Danio rerio: one gene and its partner. Each later gene encodes a partner of the first gene's protein in a complex. Links are inferred from orthologs where the notes say so. Each region holds a gene or a part of one and is shown on either strand. Other genes may lie near its edges. The genes, in order: cdk5r1b and cdk5.

What was found.
Region 2: the proteins of cdk5r1b (region 1) and cdk5 are in contact, whole or in part, in a crystal structure (PDB 3O0G), measured with the Homo sapiens proteins. The link is inferred for Danio rerio from reciprocal best matches to the Homo sapiens genes CDK5R1 and CDK5. Residues at the interface, in NP_003876.1 of Homo sapiens: Trp190, Gln193, Thr197, Pro198, Ala199, Phe203, Tyr231, Leu232, Ser235, Tyr236, Met237, Gly238, Asn239, Glu240, Ile241, Ser242, Tyr243, Pro244, Leu245, Lys254, Glu255, Trp258, Asp259, Cys261, Leu262, Ile265, Asn266, Ser269, Ser270, Met272; in NP_004926.1 of Homo sapiens: Leu37, Asp38, Glu42, Gly43, Pro45, Ser46, Ser47, Leu49, Arg50, Ile52, Cys53, Leu54, Lys56, Glu57, Val69, His71, Leu76, Arg120, Asn121, Val122, Leu147, Arg149, Ala150, Phe151, Gly152, Ile153, Pro154, Arg156, Cys157, Tyr158.

Annotation. Positions count from the first base shown.
Region 1 is NC_133187.1:30,240,237-30,244,617, forward strand, and holds the start of cdk5r1b (cyclin-dependent kinase 5 activator 1b), read left to right. Parts: upstream 1-1,482; 5' UTR 1,483-1,732; intron 1,733-1,761; exon of another isoform or gene 1,762-1,993; intron 1,994-3,286; 5' UTR 3,287-3,462; coding exon 3,463-4,377; 3' UTR 4,378-4,381. UniProt on the Homo sapiens protein: p35 is a neuron specific activator of CDK5. The complex p35/CDK5 is required for neurite outgrowth and cortical lamination. Involved in dendritic spine morphogenesis by mediating the EFNA1-EPHA4 signaling. Activator of TPKII.
Region 2 is NC_133199.1:37,948,536-37,952,985, forward strand, and holds the end of cdk5 (cyclin-dependent kinase 5), read right to left. Parts: intron 3,988-4,450; coding exon 3,907-3,987; intron 2,447-3,906; coding exon 2,360-2,446; 3' UTR 503-2,359; downstream 1-502. UniProt on the Homo sapiens protein: Proline-directed serine/threonine-protein kinase essential for neuronal cell cycle arrest and differentiation and may be involved in apoptotic cell death in neuronal diseases by triggering abortive cell cycle re-entry. Interacts with D1 and D3-type G1 cyclins.

The DNA of each region.
Region 1 (4,381 bases):
CATGTTCTCCCTGCGTTTGTGTGTTTTTCCTATGGGTGCTCCGGTTTCCCCCACAGTCCAAAGACATGCAGTACAGGTGAATTGGGTGGGCTAAATTGTCCATAATGAATAAGTGTGAATTAGTGTGTGTGGATGTTTCCCAGAGATGGGTTGTGGCTGGAAGGGCATCCGCTGCGTAAAAATGTACTGGATAAGTTGGCGATTCATTCCGCTGTGACGACCCCTGGTTAATAAAAGAATTAAGCCAAAAAGAAAATGAATGAATGATTTAATGAATCAGCGTGGAAGGTGAAGCAAGAAAAGCTGTTTATCTGGGTTTAATCTAGCGTATTAATACAAATCTGTCATAATTTATTCCCCCTCCACTTGTTTCAAACCTGTTTGTCTCTTCTATTGTGCACAAACGAAGACTTATTAAAGAATGCTGGAAAGCAGCAGTCATTGATTTCCATAGTTTTTGTTTTTCTCTCCTTTTTTAATGGATGTCACCGGCCAAAGTTTCCAACATTCTTCAGAATATGTTGTTTTAGGTCCAACAGGAGAATTGAGCACTTGAATGTAAGTGAACAGTAAGGACATTTCTTTTGTTGTTAACTATGCCTTTTAAAATATGCTAGTAAGATGCAATTACTGGACACTTTATTAGGTAAACCTTACCAATACCAGGTTGCATTTAGAACTGCCTTAATCCTTTCGTGGCATAGATTCAACAAGGTACTGGAAATATCCCTAAGAGATTTTGGTCCATATTGACATGATAACATCTCACAATTGCTGTAGATTTGGCAGCTGCATATGCATAATGTAAATCTCCTATTTTACCACATCCCAAATGTGCTTTATAGGATTGAGTTCTGGTGACTGTGGAGCCCATTAGAGTACTGTGAATTCATTATCATGTTAAAGAAACCAGTTTTATATGATTCATGCTTTATGACATGGCGTGCTATCCTGCTGGAAGAAGCCATAATCAGATGGGTACACTGTGGTCATAAAGAGATGGACATGGTCAGCAACAAATACTCAGGTAGGCTGTGGCATTGACATGATACTCAGATGGTACTAATAGGCCCACTAAGTGGTCTTCTGCTGTTGTAGCCCATCCGCCTCAAGGTTTGATGTGATGTGTGTTCAGAGATGCTCTTCTGCATACTTTGGTTGTAACAAGTAGTTTTTTTGAGTTGCTGTTGCCTGAAATTTTAATTTAAAACAAATCAGCTTTTTTTTTAGAGTGTATAAATAGCCTTTTTAAAGCATTAAAAAAACCCAACGTTTGAGAGTTTGCTTTGATTGAACTGTGGAGTACGGCAGTAAAAAATAAAACCTCCAGGTGAGTCCGCAGGGAGGCGCTCTTGCACATGTTTTCTTGCAGAAGTACGCAGTGCGCGCGGCTCTGACAGCACAGCATCAAACCTAAATCCCCTATCTGCTGGTGTGGACCAATAGCGCAGCTTCACTGCTCTCAGCATCACCAACCGAAGGAGACATCCAGCATCCCTAGACCACGGGAGAGACCTCCGACGAGACGTGGAATGCTTTTTTTTATTTGATTTGATTAAAAGCCTGCTGTTTTATTGGAATTTAGGCTTTCTGTCCGTCTTGATATTAAATCTTTTTCTTGTGTGGATGATTTTGCATCTCCTTGATGCGCAGTGATATCAAGGATAAACCCAGACAGCCATTACTGCGGCTCTTGTTTTGCTAAAGCATCGTGGAGGCGAGCAGATTTCCTGTAAGTCAGTTGCATTTCTGTTTTTATTCGGTTTACTGTTGGCCATATTTGAAAGGAAAAACAGGATTTTGGAAATCAACCGATAATAGTTTTGATCGACATTTGTTTTGTTATTTTCATTTCTATCTTTTCAAATTTCAAATGGTGTTGTTTTGCTTAGGAAAATCAATGTCAGTGTATCTTGCCCTCGTGTAAACATGTCAGGGAGGATTGCACATTTTCAGAACCTTGGACAGGGACAAATATAATACAGAGGCGAAAGTAAGAGTTTTCGTCTTTTGTGGTTTGTTAAATCCTCTACAAACACACACCGAATGTGAGTGAGGTATTAAATGTCCTATTAAACACATATTTACGAACGGCGATACAGTGGAATCAGTGTATTTACAGGAGAGCAGTAAACAGTGGAGTCTGCAATCATGGCGATGTCTTTATTTATGGTCGTTGGCTGGGTTGACTTTGCCGTCTGAAATACATTTTTGTTCTATGTAAAATGGATTTTAGTTATGATATTATGAGTGTAGTAGAAGTACGAACCAGATAAATGGTTTATTTTGTTATAGCTGTTTAGAAATCTATGATTTTGAGAGGATTTTAAGAGGTCAACAAGGATAAAAAAAAAAATAGGCTACATTTCTTTAATACCACGCGACACCTTTACGAGGCCTGTTTTCCACAAAGAGAAAACAGTGGGGCACTTGTAAAACGCATTTTGTTTTATTTAACATGAGAAGAATATTATCCAGTACTATTTAAATAATATCTGGGTATATATAAACTCAGAAAATTATTTGACACTTTAAAAAATACATTGTCTGCTCTCGTTAGGTAGCATTAATAATTGAAGATTATTTTAATGGAAACAACATTAAGTGGCCTAATTGCAAGACAGCAGTCAGCATGGTTAGAAAAACGCCATCTGTTAATATGATTTTCCATAATAATAATACTAATACTACTACTACTAATAATAATAATAATAAGGTACTATTAAACAAAAATGGCGTAACAATACAAAATCATTTGACAAAACAAAAACATGCAACAAAGTAATAAATCAGTATAATTAAAATTAAATTTGAAAAAAAAGTATAACTATGTACTTAATGTGCTAATTGTGTTTATGTTTTTTTTTTTTTTTTTGCCAAGTACAGTTGTTGCTATCGAGGTGGGATACTTTTAAATTTAGGGACAGGTTATATTTGGTATAATGGTAGTATAATGGTTAGTTAAGGTGCTGGAATGAAGTCAAAGTGTAATTAAATTTACATAGACTATGTAAACAAATGCTATTTTTAAAATTTACTATATCTCTACACAAGTAGTGGATGGTAGTGAGTACTGCAAATATTAGTACATGCTAATTAATAAAGACACTTAATACAAATTTGCTCTACATATTTTAATCAGAGTCTTTATTTCGGGCAATTATATTGCATACAAACAACATCCTGCAGTGCTAATTAACAATAATAATTAATACAGCCATGGCTGCATTAAATAGACTACATCAAAATAGATATCAAAATAATATATTCATTCTTTGTCTTACAGGCTTTGCAGTAACCAAGCCCTCATCCATCGCAACATCATTCTTCCTTAAATAGAACACCAACCTAAATTTGGATGTCTAACAGATTGAACTAGTCTCAGGAAGCAGTGGGCTCCGGTTTGGCGCCTTCTTTAGCTGACCCCTAACCTTGAGTTCCTGATATCCAACTCCCGGCATCATGGGAACCGTGCTATCACTTTCACCCAGCTACCGGAAGGCTGCCCTGTTCGAAGATGGCCCCGCCACAGTGGGCCACTACACGGCGGTTCAGAACAGCAAGAACGCCAAAGACAAGAACCTAAAACGGCACCCACTCATCAACGTACTGCCATGGAAGCGAATAGTAGCCGTTTCAGCCAAGAAAAAGGGGTCTAAGAAGGTGCAGCCAAACACCACCTACCAGAACAATGTTTCTCACCTTAACAATGAGAACCTCAAGAAGTCCCAGTCATGTGCAAATCTCGCCTCCTTTACGCAGGACCAGACAAGTCCGTCAAACCAAGGCTCCAAAAACTCCAACAACACAGCTTCCTCTGTCAAGAAAGCACCTCTTTCCAACTCCAACGCTGTCCCTGGGACACCCAAGAGGGTGATCGTTCAGGCCTCTACCAGCGAGCTTCTGCGTTGTCTTGGGGAGTTCCTCTGCCGGAGGTGCTATCGGCTCAAGCATCTGTCCCCTACAGACCCCGTATTGTGGCTCCGCAGCGTGGACCGTTCTTTGCTCCTGCAGGGCTGGCAGGACCAGGGATTCATCACCCCGGCCAATGTAGTTTTCGTCTACATGCTCTGCCGAGACGTGGTCTCCTCTGAGGTGGCCACAGAGCACGAGCTGCAGGCCGTCCTACTGACCTGCCTCTACCTGTCTTACTCATACATGGGCAATGAGATCTCGTACCCTCTCAAGCCATTCCTTGTGGAGACCTCCAAGGAGACATTCTGGGACCGCTGTCTGTCCATCATCAATTTGATGAGCGCCAAGATGCTGCAGATCAACTCGGATCCTCACTATTTCACCCAGGTCTTTGCGGACCTTAAAAACGAGAGCCAGAAGGAGGAGGAACGGAGTCGTCTGCTTATCGGCCTGGACCGGTGAGGGG
Region 2 (4,450 bases), on another chromosome or scaffold:
AGATCATTAAATCGGATTAGACCATTAGCATCTCAATAAAACAAAAAGTTTAAATATTTTACCAATTTGAAGCTTGACTTTTCTGTAGTTACATTGCGTAGTCAGACTGGCAGTAAATGAACAGCTGTCTTGGAACTTTACTGTCATTCTGGCGTAATAAGCAAGGAACTTTGTTGCTGTATCATGGCTAAAACAAGCGCAGTGATCTTACGCAGTGCCTAAAAAAGGTTCCTTGATTATGACTCAGAAAATAGAACATTCTATTTTCAGCAGTCTTAGTACACAATGTAACTAAAGAAGAGTCAAGCTGTAAAATGGAGAATTATTAAGACTCAACTTTATTATTTTTGAGCGTGATGTTAATGGTCTAATCCGATTCAATGATTTATGCTAAGCTAAGCTAACGGTGCTCCCACCGGACCTGAAGATCTGATGAATGAATATTTAAAAATTGGTTAAAATGGAGTCACTCTTTAAATAAGAAAATAATCAAAACTCAACTTTTTTTTTTTTTTTTGAGGGAGATGCTAATGGTCTAATCTGATTCAATGACTTATGTTAAGCTTAGCTAAAAGTGTTCCCACCAAACACAAAGATCAACTGAATACATTTTTAAAAATATAGTCAAATTCAACTGTTTAACTTAAAAAAAATAAGGTGCAGCGTTTCTTTAAATGAAGAATAGGAAAACGATAACAGTGTTGTTTAAAATGAATGCTAAAATCTCGCTCATAGAAAAATCGCACAACCTAGACTTTTTTTACCATTACTGTGTACAACACAAAATTCTATGGTGGTTTTTCTTTATATACTGTATATCGTAACGTGTGCTAAATCAATGATGTGCGCTGTACCTCATTCAATTATAATGCTCATTTGATCGTAGACAAAAAAAAATAATAATAAGATAAAGAAATTGCTGCTTTTTGTAGTCCCCACCGCAGCGTTTTGTAAACCTTCAGAGACCAATGAAGAACATTTGGCAACTAAATGAATCATGTAGGGCCAGGATTGAAGGTTTGCAGGCTAGAAGAAATTATCAACATTTTTAATTTACATAACAGTTCACCTATATATGTGACTATGATCAATGTTTATATGGATAGTTCACGCAAAAAATAAAATGATCATTTAATCTTTCACTTGTTTAAAGCCTGTTTGAGTTGCTTTCTTATTGAACATAAATGAAAATGTACTGAAGAACGTGAAAAACAGCCATTGAGTATTTTTCGTTGCTACTAGAGATGCTTTTTCCAACATTCTTCAAAACATCAGCATTTTTGTTCAACAGAAGAAACTCAAAAAACTTTAGAAGCACTTGAGGAATTACGAGGAATTTTTCATTTTTGGGTGAACTGTCCCTTTAGATGGTCTGACGTTATGCGATTCTCTAATTTTGTTTGTCTGGATGAACTTTTTCCGATAATTCCATTAAAAATGAAACTTTGCTGTTGATTTAATACCCTCGGGTCATCAAAGACGGTCGCTTTCTTTTAATTCAGTGACACATTAAAAGACTTATGGTTTAAACTGTGATCCTTGTTGATTCATAAAACTGCAAGTAAGATATGGAGTCAAAAATAAATACATAAATAAATAACATACAGGCTAATCAAAATACATATATATTCAGCTCTGGACAATAAATTGAGGTCTTATAAAACACAATGAAGTTCATAATGCTCATGGAATCAACTATTCCAATCATTAAAGGCACAGTTCAGTCAAAAACAAATTCTCACTGTTTACTCCAAACCTTTATGTGTTTCTTCATTATGTTGAACACGTTTCTGATGTACTATTGATACCCATAGCAGGAAAAACAAATGCTATGGAAGTCAATGATTACAGGTTTCCAGCATTCTTCGAAATGTCTTCTTTTATGTTCAACAGAATGAAGGTTTTGAATAGAGAGTGAATAACGCATTTTCAGTTTTGGGTGAACTATCCCTTTAATTTTGCCTGTATGTGTTTTTTTTGACTCCCAAAGTGCTGTTGACTTGCATTTTATAAATCACCCAATGACCAGTGTTTCAGCTAAAAACACACATTTTGTTAATGAAGAAATATGTCAAATTGATTTTTGATGAACTATCCCTTTAAGACCATAGTAACAACATAAAGGTCTTTTTGGAGATTTGTGCCGAATAACAGCAGCACACTCTGCATTAGAGAGAGTCACTATTATAATCATGTCTGTATGATCAAATCATAACCATAATCACTAATGGAGGAGTGTCTGGTGGTCCCTCTATTATCCTATGGTGAAAGCAGAAGCTGAGGGGGGTTTGAGGAGGTAAAACTGGCCCGTCTGTGTTCCTACATGATGATTTGGAGAGCAGTTTTTGTTTTTGTTTTTTTATGGTGGGCAGAAATCAGCAAAGTAAGGGTGCTGTAGAGCTTCTTCTGCTGAGATTCGCTGTACTGGATTACATTTCAGAAGATTCTAGAAAAAAATAAAAACAAAAAGTCACAAAATAGTAACATTTAGCAAAACCATCAATCATGAAATACAGTTAATCAAAAATTAATATAAAACTGCAATTATTATTGAAATATTTCACAAGTGCTTTAAAATAGTTTTTTTTCAACATTAAAAAAATAAAAATGATATATATATATATCAAATATATATCAAATATATATATATATATATATATATATATATATATATATATATATATATATATATATATATATATATATATATATATATATATATATTTATTTATTTATTTATATTATTTTAAACTACCCAGGTTCTGTATGTTGCAATGTTGCCAATTGTTATTGATTTTTTTTCCCGTTTAATTTAAAATTTCCCCAACCAGTCCAGAGCCCGGTGGAAAAGAGTGAGTTCTCCGACTTGACCCCAGCACTGGTCCAACGTTTCTAAACATAATAGTTTTAATGACTCATCTCCAATTTAGGAACAACTAATTTCCAACTTATTTATTTGTCTTTGCCATGATGACAGTACATTATATTTTGCAGGACACTATTTGAAGACCTAATTAGGTTAATAATGTTAATGCCACAGCCATATCTACCTGTAGCCCAAGACCAGTTACGCACTGAAGCCAAGCAGGGCTGAGCCTGGTCAATACCTGGATGAGAGACCACATGGGAAATCTAGGTTGCAGTTGGAAGTGGTGTTAATGAGGTCAGCAGCGGGAGCTCAACCTGCAGTCTGTGTTGAGTCCCAATGCCCCAGTATAGTGAAGGGGACATTATACTGTCAGTATGCACCGTTGTTAAACTGAGGTCCTGACTCTTGTTAAAAATCCCATGGCACTTCTCGTAAAGCGTAGTGGTGTATACCCGGTGTCCTGACCAAAGTCCCTCCATCGGCCCTTACTGATCATCCCCATCCAAGAAATTGGCTGGATCACTGTCTCTCCACTACAACTATAGCTGGTGTGTGGTGAGCGCACTGGCGCCGTTGTCCTGTGGCTGCTGTCACATCATCAAAGTGGATGCTGCACACTGGTAGTGGTGTGGGGAGACCCCCCCTCATGATTGTAAAGCACATTGTGTGTATGGCCATACACAATAAATGCACTATATAAATACACATTACATTACAATTTTGCAATGTATGGTAATTGGGCAAGTTATTGGACAACAGGTGTTTGTTCTGTGTGGACAACTAAAATAAACAAAATGTTAAGGGGGGTAATAATATTGACCTTAAAATTGGTTTTAAAAAATTTAAAACTGCTTTTATTTCAGGGCAAAAAGGCTTTCTACAGAAGAAAAAATATTATAGGAATTACTGTGAAAATGTCCTTGCTCTGTTAAAAAGCACTTGGGAAATATATACCTAAAAAGCAAAATAATTAAATCACAGGAGAGCTAATCATTTTGATTTCAGCTGCGATTGTTATGATAATGCAAATAATATACCTGTAGTAAATCTCTGCCGGTGCTGCTGAGTTTCGGCACGACGTTCACAAGTGATGTAGTAGCTGGATACATCGGGTACGGCTATTGAAATATCAAATAAATATTTAAAACAATATATAAATAAATTAAAAATATATGCAGCCAATTACTGAGTACAGTGGTCCCTCGTTAATCACAGGAGCTACGTTCTTAAAATAACCTGAAATCCGTAAAGTAGTCAGCTTTATTTTTTTACAATTATTATAGATGTTTTAAGGGCGACACGGTGACTCAGTGGTTAGCACTGTCGCCTCACAGCAAGAAGGTTGCTGGTTCGAGTCACAGCTGGGTCAGTTGGCATATCTGTGTGAAGTTTGCATGTTCTCCACGTGTTGGCATGGGTTTTCTCTGGGTGCTCCGGTATCACCCTCAGTCCAAAGACATATGCTATAGCTGAATTGAATAAACTAAATTGGCCGTAGTGTATGTGTGTAAAAATGTGTGTATGGATGTTTCCCAGTAATGTGTTGCAGCTGGATGGGCATTCACTGTGTAATTCATATGC